Linked DNA regions of Oreochromis niloticus. The protein of the gene in region 1 binds, or shares a complex with, the protein of each later gene. Links are inferred from orthologs where the notes say so. Each region holds a gene or a part of one and is shown in the gene's direction. Other genes may lie near its edges. The genes, in order: nsun4 and mterf4.

Region 1 (10,976 bases):
TTCCCCTCTGTCATCAACTTTGAAAAGCTGCACACTTTGTCAGTGTTCAGTGTAAGAAATTAAAAATTTGGGATAAAAATTAGAAAAAGGAATATATGGAATACAATGAATATTTAATTTACTCTATGTTCCACTACATGAAAATATTTTCCATCCAATATCTTTATTGCTTTTATTTTTATTAGTTTGGACTATTTAAAAAAAATGGAACAGTGGTGGCTATGCAGTAAAGACTACATAACGTAATCGCTACAATCGCTGACATATTTTTAAAAAACATTAATTCACATTGTGATCAATTTAAAAATCAGTCGATCACAGATTCCTGTTTGTCACTGTGAGCGAAGTAGAGTTCCTCTGTTTAACATGTTCTGAATGTACAGCTTGATTTCAAAGACTTTTTGTCTATGGCTGACATTAGTAAACAGATTGTAAAAGTAACAAGTTGTTTTGGCTTGACACACCACTAATTTGGTTTTCTTTTCACATCTTAAAATATACCAGAATAATATCTTTATAAATGTAAGATTTTTTTTTTTAAATCATCTTTTCATTTTCTGAGATTTTAACAGAGAGCAAGTAGAGTAAATTTGTGTTAAAGAGTTGGTCAGACTAGGGTCTGCTCTCCTCCTTTTTCTCTTGTTTTCTCCCTTCCTCACTGTTCTGTGTGCCACCTACAAAGCACAAAAACAACAGTATCACATAAAAAGTCCCACTGGCCATTTTAAATCTTATAATGATTGTATAACAGGCAGAGAAAACCAAGCTAGGCAAGACTAAGTGCAACAATTCTATTTGAGGGGAAATTGCTATAGAGGCCCAATCTAACCACAAGCTGTAACTCAACAATCACCAATCTTCTGCTCTGCTGCACTGACACAGTCAATATCCTGACCTCCATCTGAGAATCTAGCTAAAGGTAAAAGGGTCACCTCTGGATAATTGGGTTAATTGGTAATGACCAATAAGTGCAAGCCAGTGATCTACAGCAGACGTGTCAGGGCACAAGGGTATAAAAATCTGATTCCATACCAATGTCCTCACAGGGGAAATGGGTGACCTGAATAAATTATAATTCCAAGTTGGAGGTGTATACGCTGGTCAGGTGAATTTGAAAGTTTGATGCTCCTGGCCTGTCACCAATCTTATACTGTAGACTAAACAATTATATATTTTTGTTGTTGTGTTTCCCTCCACTTGATAAAAAGCTGGGATCTTGTAAAATTAAAAAATGAAATGATTTTATTCGCAACAAATCAAAAAGTACACATTAAAAATGTTTAAACGGAGACATTTTACCATGTCCTGAAAAGTATTAGCTCATGCTGAATTTGATGGGGGTGGCAAATGTCTCAAAGGTTGGGGGCAACAAAGGCTGGAAAAGTGGTACTAAAAAGAAACAGCTGGATGAACATCAGGTCAGGAACATTATTGGGTATAAAAAAACATAATAATAATAACAATAATAATAAAACATTCCTCTCCCCAAAGTCCAGCAGCTGGTCTCTTCATAGTACAGATGTTTATGGACTGTTGCTAAAAGAAGAGTGGACGCTACATGGTGGCAAGCATGGCCCTGTCCCAACCTTTTTTTTAATTTTATTTTTTAAGACCTGTGAGTAGTTTGAGTAGTCAGCTTTTGGGTTTTTCAAATGCTGGACTTCCATCAGTGCATGTGTTGTTTTTATTTAACAATGATGGCTGTCATGTTTGTTTTGAAGGGAATGACGCTGGACTGTGTGGAAATCTCTTTAGCTCGTGTGTTTGAGAGCGGCCAGGCTTACGTGGCCCTGTCTCGGGCTCGGAACCTCGAGGGTCTAAGGGTCATGGACTTTGACCCCCGCGTGGTCCGGGCAGACCCAGATGTCCTCCTCTTCTACAGAAAACTGAGGAAGGAGAGGTTGCTCATGCAGGTGAGGGCAAATATTACCAAATATTACCTTAGCTGTTGATTCATATCTCACATTTTCATTTTTATCACTTTCTCATGTTCATATAAGTAGCTGCCCAGCAATGGTTTAATGTTAAGCTCTGCAGTTTCACTTCAACGTTAAGTTTATGTTAAGCAGAACAAAATGAGACCAAATAACCAAATAATCTGGAGAGCTCATTTTTTCCCTAGAGTTGGTGAGATGGATCAAACTACACTGGAGTGCTGTGGATGGAAAAACTTCATTCACCAGCTGTACTTATGATCTTCTTTGTCCTCATTTTTCTCTGCAGGCCTCCATGGAAGACTTTGTTAGCAACAATAAAGAAAATGCATGGTGAGGCTGGCTCTAAATCCACTCTAATGATATGCACTATGTGCATGAGTTATTGAGCTATTTCACCATTTAACCTTATTTTCTTGAGACTTCAATCTACCATCTCTACTTGGAGTCACACTGCCACCATCTGCTCACTGTACTTTTTTTTTTCAGAGCTTATTTTTTTAAATTATTTTTTGCATGTATTCAAATAAAATTTTAGCCAAATTATTTGCGTGAAGTATTTTATCAGTCATTAATATTTAAGGGAGGAAAAACACTGAATTCAAACAATGACGCTCCTTGGCTTTACAGGTCTCAAGGAGAAAATAAAATCTATTGCTGCCTTTAGTCACTGAGTGGCAGCATCCACTCCTTACATTTTCCCACCCGTTTTGGGATGAACTAAGGGAATTAACAGTGTCTGTGTTAAAGCTGTGGGGAGAAAAAAAATGCTCTGAGCCAATTAACTTTTACCTCAACTGCTTTTCAAAACTTCCAAACGTGGGACGAGTGTTCCTGTGCATGCGCCATTAAATAGAAATGCCGTCAACCAGAGACCAATTTTGTGTTACCGTAAACATCAGTGAGAGCATTTAGCGTTGGTGGCTGGATAAAACTAATTAAACCATCAGTCATGGAGCCCACGTCTGAGGATGCAGACGCTTTGAAAAGAAGCAGCTGAGACTAAGTGGAATCCAAAGACAACCTTTATTTTCTGGTCAGCAGAGTGAAGTTATGACCAAACCTGAGCCGGTTTCCATTACTGTAGCAGCATACTTTAACATTCCACCTCATCACATTTTCATTACAGCCAATCCCTTCTTGATACGAATTTTTAGAGTGCATGCTCCAATATGTTATTAGCAGTATCGACATCAAGAGTCACTATCAGCTATATTAGTATGCACTGCATACAAACAGGTGTCAGGAACGTAGTCCAAGGAAATTCAGGAGAACAACAACAGGCTTCATTTGTGGATTATTTTACATTATCAGAAATCATATCGGGTCTACTGGACAGATTGTCATTTCACATTGTGGAACAGCTTGTGTGCGACCTGTAGAGACAGAAGATGGCACAATGAGCATCATCACTAGGAGAATAATCTTTCCTTTGTCTATTGCACACTTACACAATGGTCCCGCGCATGCAGGAAGTCAAAGAGTTCTTCTGTACACTCCTCCTCAGTGTTGGACCTTGTACTGACCCGGGCTTCACAGAGCTCCAGACGCTCCTTGTAGTGCACACAGTGTTCAGTCTCCTCACACTTAGCTCTTATCGCTTCTAAAGGGTCCTAAAAAGAAAGGAAGCCATGCTATTCATCAGGAAAATGATGGCAAAAACTCTGGTAGGAAAACCACAACTCTCAAACCATGAAGGTGATTTTATAATGAAGTTAGAGGTTTAATAAGCCAGGCTTTCTTTGTGCTCAAATAAAATGGGGTGTTTTATTCAATTCAATTTTATTTATATAGCGCCAAATCACAACAACCGTTGCCTCAAGGCAGACCTACAATAATACACACAGAAAAACCCAACAATCATATGACCTCCTATGAGCAAGTACTTTGGCGACAGTTGGAAGGAAAAACTCCCTTTTAACAGGAAGAAACCTCAGGCAGAACCAGGGTCAGGGTCAGGGGCAGCCATCTGCTGCGATCGGTTGGGGTGAGAGAAGGAAGACGGGACAAAAGACATGCTGTGGAAGCATCATATGACTCAAAATGATCCCTATGAGTGTTCCTCTACATCAGAAGCATGATTAAAATCTATAAAAAATAAATGCAAAGCTGTTTATTATTTCTGTAGAAAAATGTTAATCAAGTGATTTACTCTACAGAGCAATAAAACAAACCTCTGTGTTTGTGCTGCCGTTTATCTCTAACATCATGGCTGCGCTCAGAAATTTTAAACTGGATCCATTTAAATGGTAAATGGCCTGTATTTGTATAGCGCTTTACACAACCAGTCATCCACCCATTCACACACACATTCACACACTGGTGATGGCAAGCTACATTGTAGCCACAGCCACCCTGGGGCGGACTGACAGAGGCAAGGCTGCCGGACACTGGCGCCACCGGGCCCTCTGACCACCACCAGTAGGCAACGGGTGAAGTGTCTTGCCCAACCTTGCGCAACCTTCCGATTACAAGGCGAACTCCCAACTCTTGAGCCACGATCGCCCCAATTTAAACATTGATGGTTACTGTCCTACAGCCTAATAATGAAAATGTGGAAATTGCATTATTATTTTAGCAGATCAAAGTGAAATTAATTTGAATGTTTGAACAGTTATTCTGCTGTGTGTTCTGTGTTCTAGTAGGTGCAATACTATCAGTACAAAAGAGACTTAATAGCAGATTAAAACAAAATATAAAACATTTATACATGTTTTGCATCACCAAATGAATACATGCACAGGAGTCAGTGAAAATGCTTCAAACTGATTTTAACTCACAACTCTGAAGATCACCTCCAGACTAGGTTATATGTTTTCAGCATAAGTTACCAGGTACACAGAGAGCTGATATCCTAGCATATAAAACTCTGATTTTAAGCTTGAGATCCCTCACTAAGCCACTAAACTCACCTTGTTGTGCACCACTATGCTCATCTCAACAGCCATAGTTCCATTCCTAGCTCTTCCAGTAAACATGCAAGTCTCCTTGGTCATTACAGTAAAGATTTTAAGACCTATACATATATATGGAGATGTAAAAATCTGGTATTTTGATACATTTCTTTTCCTTTCAAACACAGAAAACAAACAGAGATCTCCAATATCCATTACTGGCATTTTGGGGGTTTTTTAATTAACTTATTTACACTGCTCAGATCAACTGGTTATTGTGTTTGTGGTGTAACAAACAAGTTTTGCCAGCAGGGAAGCTGCAGAGTGCCCTCTGGCGGGCAAAATATTCATCAACACTTATACCATAGGAGAAGGGTGTTTCTTTTGTTTGTCTTTTTTAAATAATAATTTGTCGTTTGCTGATTTGCTGATACCAATATACAGACACATAGGTAATATCGTCTGATAATACTGGCCCGCCGATAAATCAGTCAGACTTTGAATAGTAACCCATCGGCGCTTGAGGTTTTTTTCAACCTTTTGTCCTACATAAAAAGCTGTTTATCACCAGAATACATGTTTTTATAATAAATATTAATAAATAAATAAATAAATAATTACCACCAACTCTTCCTCCTCTTCTTCCTCCTCCTCCTCCTCAGCAGGGGCATCTTCCTCCTATTTAGAGACATTTATATCAATGTTTTAAAATCCAGTTACAAACCAACACAGCTTACAGATTTATAGGGCTTTTTTAAGTTTTGTGTACATTTTTATTAACTACGTTGAAGAATGTCCAGATATTGTAATCACCTCATAAAACTGTGCCGTATGAAAGAAACGCACTGAATCAGTCACAGTTAAAATAAGCAGTCTCTCAAAGTATTGTAGAGTATGTGAAACACCTTCAGCTGCCAGCCTCGTTTAATGCCGATAATTATATTTAAAGTCTTAAAAGGAGCTGACAGTAAACTCGAAGGGTACACCGCTAAGATGAGCAGCAGAGTTGGGTAACTTCGTCAAACACACACACAGACCAGTCTATAAAGACACAATACGATATTTTTCGGTACCTCATCGTCGGGGTCCCCGTGTGTGAGCATTTTTTTCTCGAAAACCATGGTTACGTCTGACAATTTTACAAAATAAAACTCAGAAAGCTGAAACTCCTCGGTTTCACTACTTCTGGTTGAGGACGCGAGGTCGGTCACACGCCGGAAACTACTAGAAGGATCACCGGATAACGTTTCTTATTGGTTCACTGAAATTATTGATGTCCCAGTGAACCAATAACAGATCTCCATTTTGTGTCAGGGCCTACCCCATTCAAATACTCAATGCATGCGGAACCATTGTTTAACTGTCAGCGCAAAGTCGGACGGAAAAAAAGCTGGGGCACGGCAAGATGGCGCTGCTCTGGGACACCAGCCTGCTGTTAAGAAAAGTTAAAGATTTAAGATGTTTGACACCCAGACGACACCGAGTGAAAGAGAAATGGGTACGTGCTCAACGGGAAGATAGAAAAAAGCATTTGTATAAGTATAACACAGAGCAGGCATCCTGAAAAAAATCTGATGACTGACAGGAATTAAAGAAAAGGAAAATAAATAACTGACGTTAATAATACCAGACAGTATTTGCATTTAGATCTCGTGTAGCTGCTAAACACAGTCGAAAAGAAAAAAAAAATTGTAAACTCGGTAACATATTATATTATTTAAATAGTTTAGTCTGTTACTGTCTTGGAGCAACTGTAACCCACATAATTTCCTTAGGGATTAATAAAGTATTCTGACTCTGAGGTTGTACAGGTCTAACGACCTTGAAAGTCAATATTTGCCTTGACCACCTTTATTCTTCAGCACAGTAGGAACTCTCTTATTAGTGTGGATGCTGATTAAGCATCCACAGTATTGAGATCCTAATCTTTATTCAAGCTTATTGTCATTTCTTTAAGTAATCTTCAGAAATAGTTCTTTGGGCTTCTTGAAGGACATTCAGAGCTCATCTTTGGATGTTGGCTGCCTTTTGTTTTGTTATCTGTCAAGATGATCCCACACTGCTTCAGTAACGTTGAAATCCGGGTTCTGGGGAGGCCCAATCCATGACTGATAGTGTTCCACTTTGTGTTTTTGTATTCATTTTGTATTTGCTTTTATTATCCTGTTGCCAGTCAGACACTTCCTAGATGTGTTGCAAAGTGGATTAAAATTTGACCATACATTTGTGTGTTCATAGTTTCATCCATTTTGATGAGATCCCCAACACCCAACATGACTTTCAGATACTGTTCACATTGTAGATAGTTTGGGGGGTTTTAGCCCCTTTTTTCTCGAGTTGTCCAGTTTCTTTGGTGAAATCAGTCCAAAAATGCTGTTTTATGTCTATCAAACTGTTTTATCTTTGGCATTTTTTTTATACATTCAACTAAAGAAATGGGAAGAGTTGATGTGTTTTGTGACAGCCTGGCAGTAACAAAGTGCCTAAAGATACAATTTAAAACTGGTTCTTTGCTAAGTTGTTTTTTATGTATAGATACAACCCTGGTTCATCCTTTGAGACAGGAGACTTTTTTGTTCTGGAATGATTCATAGGTCAGTGTTGAGTGGCTTAACAAAAAGAAAACTTGCCTCTGAAAATGGTCAGGTACATATATTTGTGCACAGATGTACATTATAGGTCTACTCTAATTTTACGTGTATTAAAGACAGCTTTCCACTCTCCTGGGAATTTAAATTTTATATTGAAATTGGCACAAAGAGAGCATGGATAAACATGAACATTTATATTAAATGTCGTCCTCCTTTGCTCTCTGACAGGCTGCTACACGTCCCAAGCTCCCACCCACCAGACTGGCTGTGCATCACTTTGACGCCACCTACAGCACCCAGCTGGGGCAGCTGTGGCCCTCAGTGCGACTCGCCATGCTGTCAGAGAGAAAATATGGAGCCCTGCTCAATAATTTCTCCCATAATGCTGTTCTGGCAGAGCTCAAAGCTCAGGGATGCATAGATTTCATCAGTGAAAGAGAGAGAGAGGGTGAGTGTGCCAGCCGTCACAGTCACAGTTATGGTTATTGGTTATTACTAATGACAGAAATACTGTGCTGTGGCAATCTCTGATGCTCTGAAGAGTTCAGAAAATTTTATGAAGATAGCACTGGAGTGTGAATGACTTGATTTAAATTCATTCAATAGACTGTTTGCTAAAACATTTCACTGGGAAAAGTCAATACCTTAGTAATTAACACTATTAAAAAGTCACTTATATCATCTAGTGACTGGCATATAATTTGCAGTTCCTTCTTGCTTGGAGGAAAAATCAGAGGAACCTAGTGATGTTTCCATGAAGAGCTCTGACGTTGATGGTGAGCAGCTATCTCTAAGCCCAAACATCAAGTGTTTAGTGTTTCCGAGAGGCGACGTGACACGATTCAAGCCTGCAAGGTGAGCAATATTTCCTATGCTGCTACTAACAACAGCATCTTCTACCAGCGTGCAGTCTGATCCTCGGTTCTCTTTTCTCCTCTTCAGGCCAGACAAGAACAGCCTGTTGGGTTACTACCTGATGGACGCAGCATCTCTGCTGCCCTGTCTCGCACTGGATGTTCAAGAAGGTCACAGCGTGCTTGACCTCTGTGCTGCTCCAGGAGGCAAGACCCTGGCTTTGCTTCAGACCCAGGCCATCAGTAGGTCAAACTACTTTTACCCTTTTTCAGTTTGTTTGTTTTTTGAATCACTCTTTATATTTACTGGTTATGTGTTTGCTGCTCTGCTGTTAACCTTCCACCTGTTTTGTGTTTATGTCGAAGGGTTTTTGTGCATAAACGACAGCTCAGTGTCTCGAACACTACGACTGAGGAAGGTCCTCCACAGCTATGTTCCTAAGCAGTTATTGACAAATGAGAACCTGCGCATCACCTCCTTCGATGGCACTAAATGGGGGGAAATTGAAAGCAACACTTTTGACAGAGTAAGCCAGTGCCACATTGTCACATTGTCACTCATCCTATTCACATGTTTTGCTCTTTGTCATTATGTTTTTATTCAAAAACTCTTAGTTTTGTTCAGCTTTTCCTTTTTTTTCTCTAAATTCAGGTCCTTGTTGACGTTCCCTGCACAACAGACAGACATTCACTCATGGAGGACGACAACAACATATTCAGTAAGAGTCGGACTGGGGAGAGACGCAGGCTGCCGCAGCTACAGCTGGAGCTGCTGCTGTAAGTTTGGTGGAAATGTGAACAAAATGGGCTTTGAGGCTGTTAAAGCTTCTGTGGTTTCATATAAATATGCACACAATTAAGCAAAATAACAGCTGGTAGTGAAAACCTTTATTTAGATGTAATGTAAATTGAACCCTCTGTGTATCCTGCAGAGCTGGAATCCAGGCCGCTTGTCCTGGTGGGGAGATCCTCTACTCCACCTGCACGCTCTCACAGAACCAGAACCTCAGTGTGGTTGAACAGGCTATCTACCAAGCTCGAGAGAAAGATGGCATCCATCTACAGGTTAGTGAGACACTTTTTTTGTATTAATAAGAAATGTATCAAAGTGGTGGCGCAAAGAAACTGAAATTACACCTAGAATAACTGTCCGTTTTTCTTTTATTTCATCATATCTCCATCACATCCACACTCAGGTTGTGGATCTGAGGCCCCTGACGCGGATGTTCGGGAACACCTTCCACTTCGCTCCGGACCTCCACCTGGGGGAGATGGTCATCCCGCACCTAGCAGCTAACTTTGGACCCATTTACATGTGCAAGCTAAAGAGGCTGACGTAGGCTGTCGACTGTTGCACAAGTTCGCCTGAGACTTTCAAATACTGAGCAACTCTGCTGCCAGATTTAGAGTCCGCTGGATTTGCAAACTGCTTCTGGTGGACCCGGGCTTTCATCATAACTGTGTTCTGGAGCTTTTTGAAGCCTTCTGAGCCAGCCATGACTCTCAGAGACGTTTCTCTTTTTTCCTGTTTTCTCAGTCCTATATGATTACTAAGCCTTAACGCTGGGTCACCTTTACAGGCTACACAGCAAATGTAAATAATATCAGTTTTAGATTGTTCAGGTAAAGCATGAGACGAACAGGAAAGAGATTTTTCTCAGTGCAGAAGTGGATCAGTGAGGACAGGTGACTCTGAGCGCACAATATCCTATCTTAATCCTTAATCCACTTTTTTGCGGCTTGCTAGTAGGGTCCTTATGCTTTAAAACTAGCTGCACAAGCTGATGAATGACCTCTTGTTAGTTTCAAAGGGACGTGAGGAGTACTTCCTAAAGTCTGGCCTGCATTGACCCGTCCCTTCAATGTCCTCATCATTCATGCTGGTCCTCATTATTGATGCGGAAGCCCTAAACTGCAGTTAAACGAATAATTAAACTGAGCTTGCACTGCATTAACTTATTGACGATGTGGATGTTTAGGTTTTTTTATCCATAAACAATTCAAATTAATGTAACTTAAAGTTACATTATCACTAGAATTCACCTGAGGGTACCAGAGTGTTCTTTGCACAGATCTTTTCTACTGTGACATATTAAAGAGATGTGACACACAGCCAGGATATGCATATGATAGTGTGAGAAAAAGTCAAATAGCCATTTAATAACTTGTTAGTCAGTACTGTACATCTGTACATTCATATCACATTTTGAGTGTGATTAAAGATTAATATTAAAGTCGTGTTTGTCTAAAATTGATCATAAGTTAAAGGCGATAGCTACAAGAAAACAATGGACAGAGGATTAGGAATACAATTAGGAAGGATGTGTCATTTTGTTTAAAGGTCTCCTCCACTCATATATAGCTATTTATGAGTTGCTGTTTAATTTTTGCCCTCTAGGTGTCAACAGTAGACCAAGAGCACAAGCGTCCTGTATCTTCCTTGTCCACTAGAGGACACTGAGTGTATATATGTGGAAATGCTGCTGTAATTTCACTATGTGTGTTTGTCCTCCTGTACTCTGTCAGCTGCACAGGGATGATGTTTGTGGTTTGGGAAAAAAACACAAATTTCCATCAGAATTACCTGCTCTCTTTAACTCGGCAATGAAAATGGGCTTGTCTTGTTCTTTGCTTATTCATCAGGTTTGATGGCTTTGCCTAATAATGCGATATATGGCTGTGTGAGAGGAGGGCATAATGAAC
Region 2 (10,704 bases), about 3.3 Mb from region 1:
ATGTATTTCAGTACTGAGCTTTTATTTAAGTTAAGCATTTATGGTTTGCAGCATGCAGATAGAAACTTGCATAAGTCCTAAATCTTAAGCCTGTGGGGAAAATAAACAGGCAAAGACTTATTCACTCAATAAAAATGTAACTGCAGGGATAAATGAGCTGAGAGTTGAGGCATTCGTTCTTGTATATGCTATTACCAGTGCTTGTAAGGTGAAGTGCTTTGTGTTTTATACTTGCAGCATGCTCCAACCCCATAAAGCAAGGCATCCACAACATTGATCCAGAACATGTTTTTGCGTCTACATTTTGATTTCCTAGGAGACACTTCAGATACATTTTCAGTAAATATTTTGCCGTTGCAGTTTGCCTGTAGCTTTCTTGTGTGATCCAAGTTGGCATGGAAAGAAAAGAATTGGATTGAAACAGCCCGTCTTTCCTCAGGGCCAATAACACTGCAGAGCTGATGGAAGAAGCAGCTCAGGTAGCACCATGCAGTAGCCAGCTAGACAGTGTGGATACTACTCAGGCACTCCTCAAGACATTTACCTGGGTGGAACTTCCAGATGACGACACCTGCCGCTCTGTTCCCACTGAACCATCGCACCAAAAGAGAGAACAGCAGCCGGGCAGTGAGGTTCAGAAAAAAGATGAACCCGTCCCTGAGAATATCCCAGGTGTGACGTAGCTCTGCTGATGTTTTCTTTACATAAATGGAGCTCAGCTATAAATACAATGTACAATGAATGTTCTTCTTCTTCTCTAGACTGTCCTGCTGGGAATGGACATGCTGTTGATAAGATCAATGACAAACCTGATGTAGGAAAAGATCACCGTTCATCTGCCTCTGTTTTTGAGGAATCGAGCTTTGAGGTCATCTCAATGGAGAGCCGGTGAGGGGAGATATTTTTCAGTATGTGGGTAAAATGAGGCCCTGAAAGCGTCTGACGTGCCTGGTTGAAACTTCAAAGAATCTAAAGATGCTAATGAGAATGTCAGCGCTCGCAGTTACGTATATCATACTTTAAAATATTGCACAATGGCAGGAAGAAACAGACAAGTTTCAGCCTGTAGCTTAGAAATGCTGTCTCATTGATATTTTTGGCGTCTTTAGTGGGTCAGCACCTTTTTCGACTGTGTAAGCCTTTTTCAATTGAGCATGCCTCCTTTTTTGTTTAGTTAGACTTCAAAGAAAACTAGAAACATTCATTTCACATATCATTTGCTATACTAACACCTGGATGTGTTTCTCTGTGTTTTTAATACAGTATTTGATTCCACTGTCAAACATTTATTCATTTCTTTGCTTATTTCAGCTTTAGACGTTTCCTTCCTTTACAAATATATTTTTCATGTATTCATGTAACAATGTTTTGCTTTTTCTAATTTCCTAGGTCTTCTTCTGGCTTCTGTGAAAATTTTGCTGGCCACGGTGGTTCTGATCCAGCCCAAGCAGTGGACTCAGCCAGTGTCTTTCTGGACCTAAACAGCAATGGTGATCTGGTTACCCGGGCCCTAGCAGAGCTAGACCTGGGCGGTAATATAGAGCTGCTCAGTGGCGGAGGAGGCAACAATGACAACCAACACTCTGTGGCATCATGTGATACGGCTGAGCTCCTGCGGACTCCCTCCCCATGCATGGTGCTGTCTGACCAAGAAGCGGAGCCCAATGAGCCTGGGGACGCTGCTGCTGTGGAGGCCAGAAACAAATCAGCTGATAAACTTGAAAAGCATAAGGATGAGCAGGTTCACTGGGAAGCTGTCTCTGCAATTCATCAAGGAAAGGGCCAAGAGGGCTGTGAACAAGTGAATACTGGGATTCAGTCACTGACAGATATGCCTGCCACATCAACTCCCAAGAAACAGAAGGTATATGGACACAACCAGTCCTCAGATGCCACACGTATAGTGGAGGGGCGATTTGAAGGAAGTGGATACCACAGAGACGGCACGAGAATAGGTTGGTGTTAAACTCTTTACTGTACTTTAGATTCCTCCTAAAAATCAAATGCAAAGCAACAAGTATTTTTCTCTCCTTGTGTGCAGATGTGCTGTGTGATGTGTGCGGGACTAACCTCCCAGACGGAAGCTCCATTTTCTGCGTGTGGATGTGCAGACTCAGCCAGCAGGGGGCGTTGTCGCAAATGGATCAATCACTGCACGACCAAACAGCAGGCAGTCTAGGAGAGGTCAGTGGCTGTAATGATCTTAAGTCTAGGTCAATAAAGCATGGTTTTTATCTTATTTATATTTTAATTTAAACTTCATTAGAGGCAGTTGTGCTTTTAACTTGGTGATCATTTACTCGTTTCTTCATGAAGAGGATTGGTGAGGCCAGTCAGGGGGAAGCATTGCGCTCCACCATGGACCTCGAGCAGTCTAAAGCCTGTGATGGACAGTTTGAAGAAGAGTACAAGCCGATCAAAGCTGTTGGTAAAGGAGCCTTTGGATTTGTCTGGAAGGCAGAAAGGCGCTGCGATGGGCAAGAAGTAAGAAAAATATTTGGGGGGTTTTTTTGTTGTTGTTTGTATATGTAGTTTTTTTGTTTAGTGTTGTTTTTCAGAGGATGATATTATGACCTATTTTAAAAACCTACAGGTGATTGTGAAGTTCATCAGCAAGACCAGAATAGTGAGCGACTGCTGGGTAGACGACCCAATGTTAGGGCGAGTGAGCCAGGAGATCGCCATACTGACCCGAGTGACGCACCATAACATCGTTAAGGTCGCCGTGTGGTTTGCATCACATGACCCTGTCGCAAGTTTCCAAAATAATGTGTTTTTAATCGTGAACTGTGTTGCTTCACCTCATACACCTGTGTTGGTGTCACCAGGTGCTGGAGGTGTTTGAGAATGGGAGTTACTTTCAGATGGTGATGGAGAAACACGGAGACGGTTTGGACCTTTTCGAGTTTATAGACAAGCAGCCGAGGCTCGATGAGCCCCTTGCCAGCTACATATTCAGACAGGTACACGCACAGGCAGAACAATACAACCGTGTCAGGAGAGTGGGCTCATAAATGTGACATGAAGTGTTGATTTGTTCCTTGTTAAAATGCAGCTTCTGTCTCTTCCCAGATTGTGGCAGCGGTCTTCTATCTGAGGACCAAGAACATCCTTCACAGGGACATAAAAGATGAGAATATCATAATCGACACATGTTTTCACATCCGACTGATAGACTTTGGCTCTGCTGCTATAATGACTCCTGGGAAGCTCTTTTATCATTTCTGTGGCACCCTTGAGTACTGCTCCCCAGAGGTGCTACAGGGAAATCCGTGAGTATACAATATCTGTTAATTCTCTTTTTTTCTTTTTTAAAAAAAATGTATTTTATTAAACTTGTAGGTTAAATAGCATCCTTATGTTTAAAGAAGTCACTTAAATTATTGAATCTGCATGCAGAGTCTAGTTAAGAGTTATTTTTACAGTCCTAGATTACATTTATGACCCATTGAACTCATAAATTGAGCTCTAGAGTATTCAATTTTGAGAATACACCATCAGCACTGAATTAACTTGCTAATAATTATAGGCTTCTCTCATAAGTGGGCTTCTTTTTGTAGCTATGAGGGTCCAGAGCTGGAGATGTGGTCTTTGGGGGTTTTGCTCTACACGTTGCTTTTCAGCGAGAATCCCTTTTGTGACGTGGGTGAGATCCTGGATGCCAAACTAAATCCCCCGTATCATCTCTCTCCAGGTACACAGCCACCGCTTGTGATTTCACAAAATATGATCCTTTGAGTTTATAGAGAAGATTTTGTCCAGTCAGATTCTGAAGTTTTTCTGTGTATTCTCTCAGAGCTGGATGATGTATTACATGGGCTGCTTGACCCTAACCCAACTCACAGAATGACTTTAGACCAGCTGCTGCTGCAGTCCTGGATCAGCCAGCCCATTTCTCTATCAGAGTACACCTGGGCAGAGGTGGTTCCTGAAAATCTGAGCTGCTGTGAGTACTTTTAAATGGTACTGTTGGACTAGTAGGTGTCAGACTTTTTCTGATATTCCCCACCTCAGGAGGTGGAAACAGTTTATCCCTTACACCTCTTAATACTCATCACTCTGCAACAATAAAATAAGTACATAAGCATCAGGCCACTTTGATATTTTTTCCCCTTGAAATGTAACAGAAATTCAACTTAGTTTAACTTCATATTTTTCCTTTTCCACCTGCACCACAGTTTGAGAACCTGTAAATTAAACTGACAGTCGTTAGCTATGTTTTAATATACTGGGGCCTCTGATCTTTTTATCAGGTTTACCACAGCACCAAGAATCCAGTCCTAAGGCGTACATCGGGCAGAGCTCATTTTCAGACGGTGGGGATGACACTCTGCCTGAGGATGACGAGGAGGAAGATGAGGATGAGAGGTTGGAGATTGCAGCCCTGAAATCGGAGCTGCATAAGTACCTCGTTGAGGATTAAAGACTCTGCTTAAACAAAGTGAAGCCTTCATGCGAACTGTCAAATCACCTATTTTATCTCGAGTCACTGAACAAAGATATGAATGTTGAAGAAAAATGAAGTGCGTCTCAATAATGGGACGCTGCTGCCGGGACTAAATATGAGAGAAACAGACTTCTGACTTAATCATGGGTCAGTCACACTGTGCTTGTTTCTGTGTTCAGGATGTAATCTGTTTTATTTATTTTCTGCAGTTTGATGAAAAATTAAAGCAGCAAAAAGAAATTGTGACAGTTTAAAGTATCACCCAGCTTTACTACAAAAACACAATAACTATAAGCTGTTACCTCAGAGAAATCACACAAACTCATTAAAGTTAAAGAAACTCTTGATCCAGCTTTTTTTTTTTTTTTAAATAATGGGCAATTTATATTCATTGTTTTATTCTTGTATATTTTAATTAAAAGTGTAAGAATATCTGATATTTATCTATTTATTTTTATACATCAATAAATGTATTGCCACAAGCATGTTCTCTTAAATCAGGTAACTGCTACTTAAATTTATATCCAAAACACTAAATGACTGCAGTACTTGTTGGGGACACATTTATCAGGTTCCCAGCTGGTGTTAAAGCTGCCAGATTAACAGCTGCTGTTATTTACAGGCTGCCATTTCCTTCACAGACTTTCACGTTATTTCAAAGTAGAGAGGAGGGTGGTACTGCAAATATTTCATCATGAGTACATTACACTAGCTACAGACTGTCAGCTATTCCAATAAAGTTGAACATTTATTTTCACTGTGTATTTGTGAAGATATGAGTTCCTGAAAAGTCCTTATAATAACACTGAACCATTAAAAAAGCCCAGACTTTACTTTTTTTTATGTATCCTGATTGCATTCACCATGCTGATTCTCATCTGAAAATATGTTTTGTAATTGAAAATGATTAACTCATGACACTGATAACATGAATTGAGCACCATAAGCACCATATCATTACTCAGGGCAGGAAAGCGCTGCCAAAAAGTGCCCTAAAGTCTCTATTTAGACTGTTAACTTGATGATTCTTGAAATACAATCTGTCAAATACATCAATCACGAATTATATCAAGCAACTTTGAGGCACAGTGCACAAGCTGCAATTAGTTTCTGGTAAAGTGACTTTTGAAAGTGTCATTGAGGTTAAAAATGTGTTTCCAAAAAGCACTGAATTTATTAGTACAATCACGCAGAGTCATAAGGCTAAAACAAGTCATTTCTTTATTTTATATGTAAACCCTAATGACTGCGGTCTATTTACAGATAGAACAAAGATATTAGACACTTAAAAAAAACATTGAGAATCACTTTTTGGCACGACACAGGTAATTTAATTAGGAAAATGTCTGTCTTATAAGATTTCTAAATCATGGTCACACCATCATATTTGATTAGCCGAATATATACCAAAGACTGTAGAAAAAAACTGTTTTCTACAGTCAATGATATTTACACACATAGCGGAACCTTTGTACTCTTTAAGTTGGAGGACGGAAATATTTCGATAACGGAGAAGCATGGGAACCCGTGTTGCTGTGAATCAGGTGAAGTATATATACAAACTATGACGATTTAGTATCTTTTTCCTCGAAGCAGAAATAATTAAAGGTGCAAGACTTTTAACTGAATGGACCCCTTAGTAAAAAAAAAAAAAAAAAAAAAAAAGGAACGAAAAGACTGACATTTATAACCTTCACGTCTGCTAACTTGAGCTAATGATAACGGTGGAGTTTGTTAGCATATTTTCTGCCCCCTCTACCGCTGCTGTCTGTGAGGGTTTTTAAAGGCGTGTATTTTTCCACAGGTACTACGGTTGGCTGTGAGAAATGCCACCATCTCTACACTGTGTCCGCGTCAGTTTGGGAGATACTACCTCCAGTCCAGATGGTGTTGTTCCTCTACCAACCAGGCAACGCAGCACAATCAAGACTTGAATCCTCCGAGTGGGATTCCGGTCACTGAGCTGTCCCTGCGCTCTTTCATTGATATGGGCTTCACAGAGAGTCAGGCAGAGCAGATATACGAGTCTCTGGCCAATGTCAGAAGAGGAGATTCTGCCAAACACATCCTACCAACCCTCACAGCTCTGTTTGTCTTGGGCCTCAACCCGTCCAGTGTGAAGAAGTGCCTGGAGAAATGTCCTGAACTTTACACCATCAAAGAGGCGCAGCTGCAGCAGCGCATAAGCAACCTGCGGAAAATGGGCTTAGTTGAAGGTAAAGTGTTGCCTTTGCGCAGTTTTTTTTCTACATTAGATCAAGCATAAATTTACTGAAAATATATGAAACCCGCATTTTAATCTATTTCTCCGTAGGCAGCCTTCAGAGGGTGGTGGCCCATTACCCCAGGATCCTGACTGTGCCTTTGAAGAGGGTCAAAAATGTGGTGATGTTTCTCAAAGAGAAGTGCCTGTTTACTTCCCAGCAGGTCACAGACATCATCAGAGATTGTCCAGCAGTGGTGCTGGAGAACTTGGATCAGCTGGAGTACAAGTTTCAGGTGAGCAAGTGAATCGTGTTTGCTGCTTTTTGTTAGGTTTTGGTTTGGATTGTCAGACAAACCTGGCCAAACAGACCTTATACTTGGGTTCTGTGTATTCAAATGTATAACAATCAATGGTTACCATATTCTTTACATAAATGATGCAAATGTGAATTCCTAGATGTTTTGAATAAGTTATAAAAGATGATAAGCACAGTGGGCAGATACTCAGTAGCTCCATTCCAGTAATAATAGACTGAATGTTATTTGTGTGTATATAATTTTTTTTCAGATCTGCATTTTATAATCCTGTGAGCACTTCTGCAGTTCTCTTTGTACAGTGCAGAGTGGGACAGTGTGCATCCGCATTGCACTTCCCCACATGAAAGCACACCGTCCTTAAGATCAGCTCAGAGTTTCAGAATAGGAGTATCTCCTGTCCACACTTTTATATGTTGTCCACTTAAAGCTGTTGTCAAACTGTGTACTAACTGTGTTGACCAAATGTACAAGCATGTGTTCTCAATATCACTACAACATCATAGTTTTTGTTTTCACTTTTCACTCTACACGCTTCATTGTTAAAACCCTGGCGTGGCTAGGCGTAAGTGCTGACTTCAAACACCGTCAGATTTCCATACTTTCTACTGTAATGAAGATAAACTAATGAGTGTGGAGACTAAATCTGAAACTGCGTGAAAGAAATTTAACTGTTGACTCACACCTCGCTACAGAAAGGAACAAACATGGTTTCTATCAGGGTTTCTTCTGCAGTTCACTAGAGAACTGCTCAGTCTATAAGAAGTCTGATATGGGCTGTATTTTAAAATACATAGTTGGTGCGCTGCTCCTTCCGAATAACAGCTAGTATTCCCGAAGTTTTGTTGTGTCTGTTTCTTTGTAACAGCACATTTTACCTCCTCTCTCCACAGTACGTCTACTTCAGAATGGGTGTCAAACAGGCGGAGATGGTGAAGTGCCGACTGTTTCGTTACAGTCTGGATGAGGTCCGCTGTCGACACACTTTCTTGGAGCGACGGGGCCTCTATGAAACCCCGGACAAGAAAGGACAGACGACGATCATCAACCCCAGTCTGGACAGCATCCTTAATGTTGACCAGGACACCTTCCTCGCGCACGTCGCCCAGGCATCAGCAGAGGAGTACGACGTGTTTAAAAGACTGGCAGCCAGGGAGTGGCAGGAAGAGGAGCTGCAGCAGGGCAGGACTGAACCTGATAGTGACGATGAGGACGACGATGAAGATGTAGACGATGATGACGATATAGAAGCAAAAAGTGGATATGGGAAAAGGAGAAAGAAGTGACTGCTTGTTGAACCAGTCTTTGTTTTTTGCTTTTTAGGGAAGTTCCCTAGATTATCATCTAAACCACCCATGGGAACACAGGAAGAGCCTTTTGTTATGGTTTATGTTAGTGGTTTCATCAGGATGTAAGACATGAGGACGTTGGTGTGAGACTGTGGGTCAGTTCTAACTTTGGGTGAGGAAAAATGTCTCCCACATAATCTTTTTGTCAAAGTGTCAATAATATTTTTGAGTTTCCTTCATTGAGGGCATAAATTAAATTAATTTCAGAAGCTTGACTTGTGAGTCGCATTGAAAACAGGAGATGACTGCCAATCCCTTTAAGTGAGTTTTCGAATAAAGTCAAATAAATTCTTGAAAACCAATCAGATTTACTGGGCAGAAAACACTTTAAAAGCTACGGTGTGGGGAGCTCCACCTTGTTACTATGTGACAGCTGAGTGTTTGTAGCTCTCTGCAGCCCCTATATTATCTCTCTGAGTCAACAAAGAGTACATTCAGAAAGAGCTGTCCAGTGAGATGAGTGCTGCAGAGCACCGTTTTATTTATTTGAGCATTAACGGATGCACACCACAGGCAGGTTTTTCCATTTTTGAGCCTCAGGTAAGATCACTCACCTTTGTTCAATCGATAATTTGTCAATAAATACGTTTATGTAGTCATTTCTGGGTTTAGTTTTGCTCTTTTTGTTCAGTGAGTACAAATTTTGGTTGGGAACGTGGTTATCACGGTTGTGGTATTCAGCTTAGTTATTTTTATTTATTTTTTGATGAGTGAATCATGATGTGCACCTGATTTGTGAGATTTCACATGAAGAGAAGTAGATGTTCAGGGTCCATTGTTGAATATTTGTTCATATTCGAATTCTGGCAACAAGCTTCTGGCTGCTCATTTTAATTATTAAGTAGACTAAAACAATTTGACTGGACTGTAAAATGAAAATTGCATGTTAAAAAGCCAGCGCATTAAAGCATTAGACATTACTACTTTTTTTGGGGGTTTTTTTGCTTTTGTTTTTTTCCAGCCTGCAGCCTAACAAGGTTATCATTGTATTAAACACACACAGAGATATTATTCATGTAGAGATCACATTTGCTCTTTGCTGCTTGTGTGAAGATTTGCAAATTCCAGCTTTTACGCAAATGCATAAATATAACATATAGTTTGCTTATTCAAGTAGAGACTCGAACCATATTTGCATTTAGTTACAGGTGATTTGTACAGTTTCTTACCTGCTCATCCAGTTCAAATTCGCTGGGTGGATTAGCGTGGGGGTGTATCCCACTTTTAACTGTAGTGCGCTGTGGACAATGAATTATGGTGTTTTTCTTTCACAGGACTTGGCTGGAGAAAGTAGGGACTGGGCTCATAAAACACGCCTGTGTCGCCATCTGCACTTCCTCCGTGACTCACAGGTGCAATGACATCACCGATACCAATTTCAAACATCACGCAGGAGTGGGTGGAGATTATGCAGAAGTGGCACCTGGATTTGTTTTCCATCCCCACAATAGTCCTCACTCTTGCCACCTTGCTGGCCAGCCCTGTTCTCCTGGTAAGCATTTTCCTTTCCCGTGCCCTGCGCCAGGAGACACGTTACCTGCTATTGGCCAACATCCTGGTGGCAGACCTGTTTTTGGTCCTACTCAACCTGGCCATGGTGATTTGTAACGCCTTGAGAGCACCAATGCAATGGTTGGGTTGTGAGCTGGTCACAGCTCTCACCGTCACCAGCTACTGCTGTGCCGTTTACACGGTCACGCTCATGGTGGTCGACACCTATGCTGCTGTTCGCTGGCCTCTCCGTTACCGTGACGTTATTCCACCTTCCCGCACCTACTGCATACTGGTGGGGGTGTGGGTGTTAGCAGCCATATACCCTTTCACAGTGATGATCAAGACACACATAGCGAGTGGGAACTCCCATGAAAAGCTACCCGTGTGTCTGGTCCTCATCTCCCTTGGATTCATTCAGGACAGGAACGTGACTGGGATCTACATCTACTTCTTCGTAGCTGCACTCATGTGTTCACTGCTCATTTCTTACTGCTACATTCGCCTCTACATGATAACGAGGACACAGGGAATCTGGCATAGCCGCTTCTCCAGGGCCAGGGTCACCCTGCTGGCCCACGGGGTTCTGCTCCTGCTCTACTTTGCCCCCGGCTTCCTTTTTACCCTGGAGCTCGTTCTAATAGACAGGAAAGACATACCTCAGGATGTTCGCGTGTGGGTCTCCACAGTCAATATGTGTGTTTTTATGTTGCTTCCCAGGGTATTTGCTCCTTACCTGTATGGGATCAGGTACAGAGAGATCTCAGACACAGTAATGCTGCTGCTGCTGCACCAGCACAGGAGACTCAGCCAGGCCACAGCTGCGTAAAGAACTGCTGTGTTTCTGAACGACTTCTAAAGGGTCAGACTTTTATCTGCATGATCTGTAAAAATGCC

Evidence for each region.
Region 2: the proteins of nsun4 (region 1) and mterf4 are in contact, whole or in part, in a crystal structure (PDB 4FP9), measured with the Homo sapiens proteins. The link is inferred for Oreochromis niloticus from reciprocal best matches to the Homo sapiens genes NSUN4 and MTERF4. Residues at the interface, in NP_950245.2 of Homo sapiens: Pro61, Ser62, Arg64, Val65, Leu68, Ser69, Glu70, Arg136, Gly137, Asp138, Ile139, Arg141, Asn367, Leu368, Met369; in NP_872307.2 of Homo sapiens: Tyr267, Glu269, Arg270, Leu271, Gly272, Arg273, Glu311, Glu312, Val315, Phe316, Lys318, Leu319, Arg322, Glu323, Glu326.

What each region holds. Positions count from the first base shown.
Region 1 is NC_031982.2:11,041,498-11,052,473, reverse strand, and holds the start of nsun4 (5-cytosine rRNA methyltransferase NSUN4), read left to right. Parts: upstream 1-6,118; 5' UTR 6,119-6,233; coding exon 6,234-6,326; intron 6,327-7,647; coding exon 7,648-7,867; intron 7,868-8,126; coding exon 8,127-8,274; intron 8,275-8,361; coding exon 8,362-8,516; intron 8,517-8,639; coding exon 8,640-8,800; intron 8,801-8,925; coding exon 8,926-9,050; intron 9,051-9,205; coding exon 9,206-9,338; intron 9,339-9,469; coding exon 9,470-9,613; 3' UTR 9,614-10,976. Other genes in the region: ATP-dependent DNA helicase PIF1, read left to right, coding at 1,722-1,913, 2,224-2,271; cytochrome b-c1 complex subunit 6, mitochondrial, read right to left, coding at 3,278-3,310, 3,386-3,547, 5,450-5,506, 5,902-5,949. UniProt on the Homo sapiens protein: Mitochondrial RNA cytosine C(5)-methyltransferase that methylates cytosine to 5-methylcytosine (m5C) in various RNAs, such as rRNAs, mRNAs and some long non-coding RNAs (lncRNAs).
Region 2 is NC_031982.2:14,335,604-14,346,307, reverse strand, and holds mterf4 (transcription termination factor 4, mitochondrial), read left to right. Parts: upstream 1-5,838; 5' UTR 5,839-5,964; coding exon 5,965-5,991; intron 5,992-6,251; coding exon 6,252-6,663; intron 6,664-6,761; coding exon 6,762-6,946; intron 6,947-7,860; coding exon 7,861-8,253; 3' UTR 8,254-9,099; downstream 9,100-10,704. Other genes in the region: pask (PAS domain-containing serine/threonine-protein kinase), read left to right, coding at 440-672, 762-888, 1,390-1,955, 2,042-2,184, 2,317-2,484, 2,594-2,719, 2,829-2,963, 3,073-3,272 and 3 more; probable G-protein coupled receptor 148, read left to right, coding at 9,674-10,636. UniProt on the Homo sapiens protein: Regulator of mitochondrial ribosome biogenesis and translation. Binds to mitochondrial ribosomal RNAs 16S, 12S and 7S and targets NSUN4 RNA methyltransferase to the mitochondrial large ribosomal subunit (39S).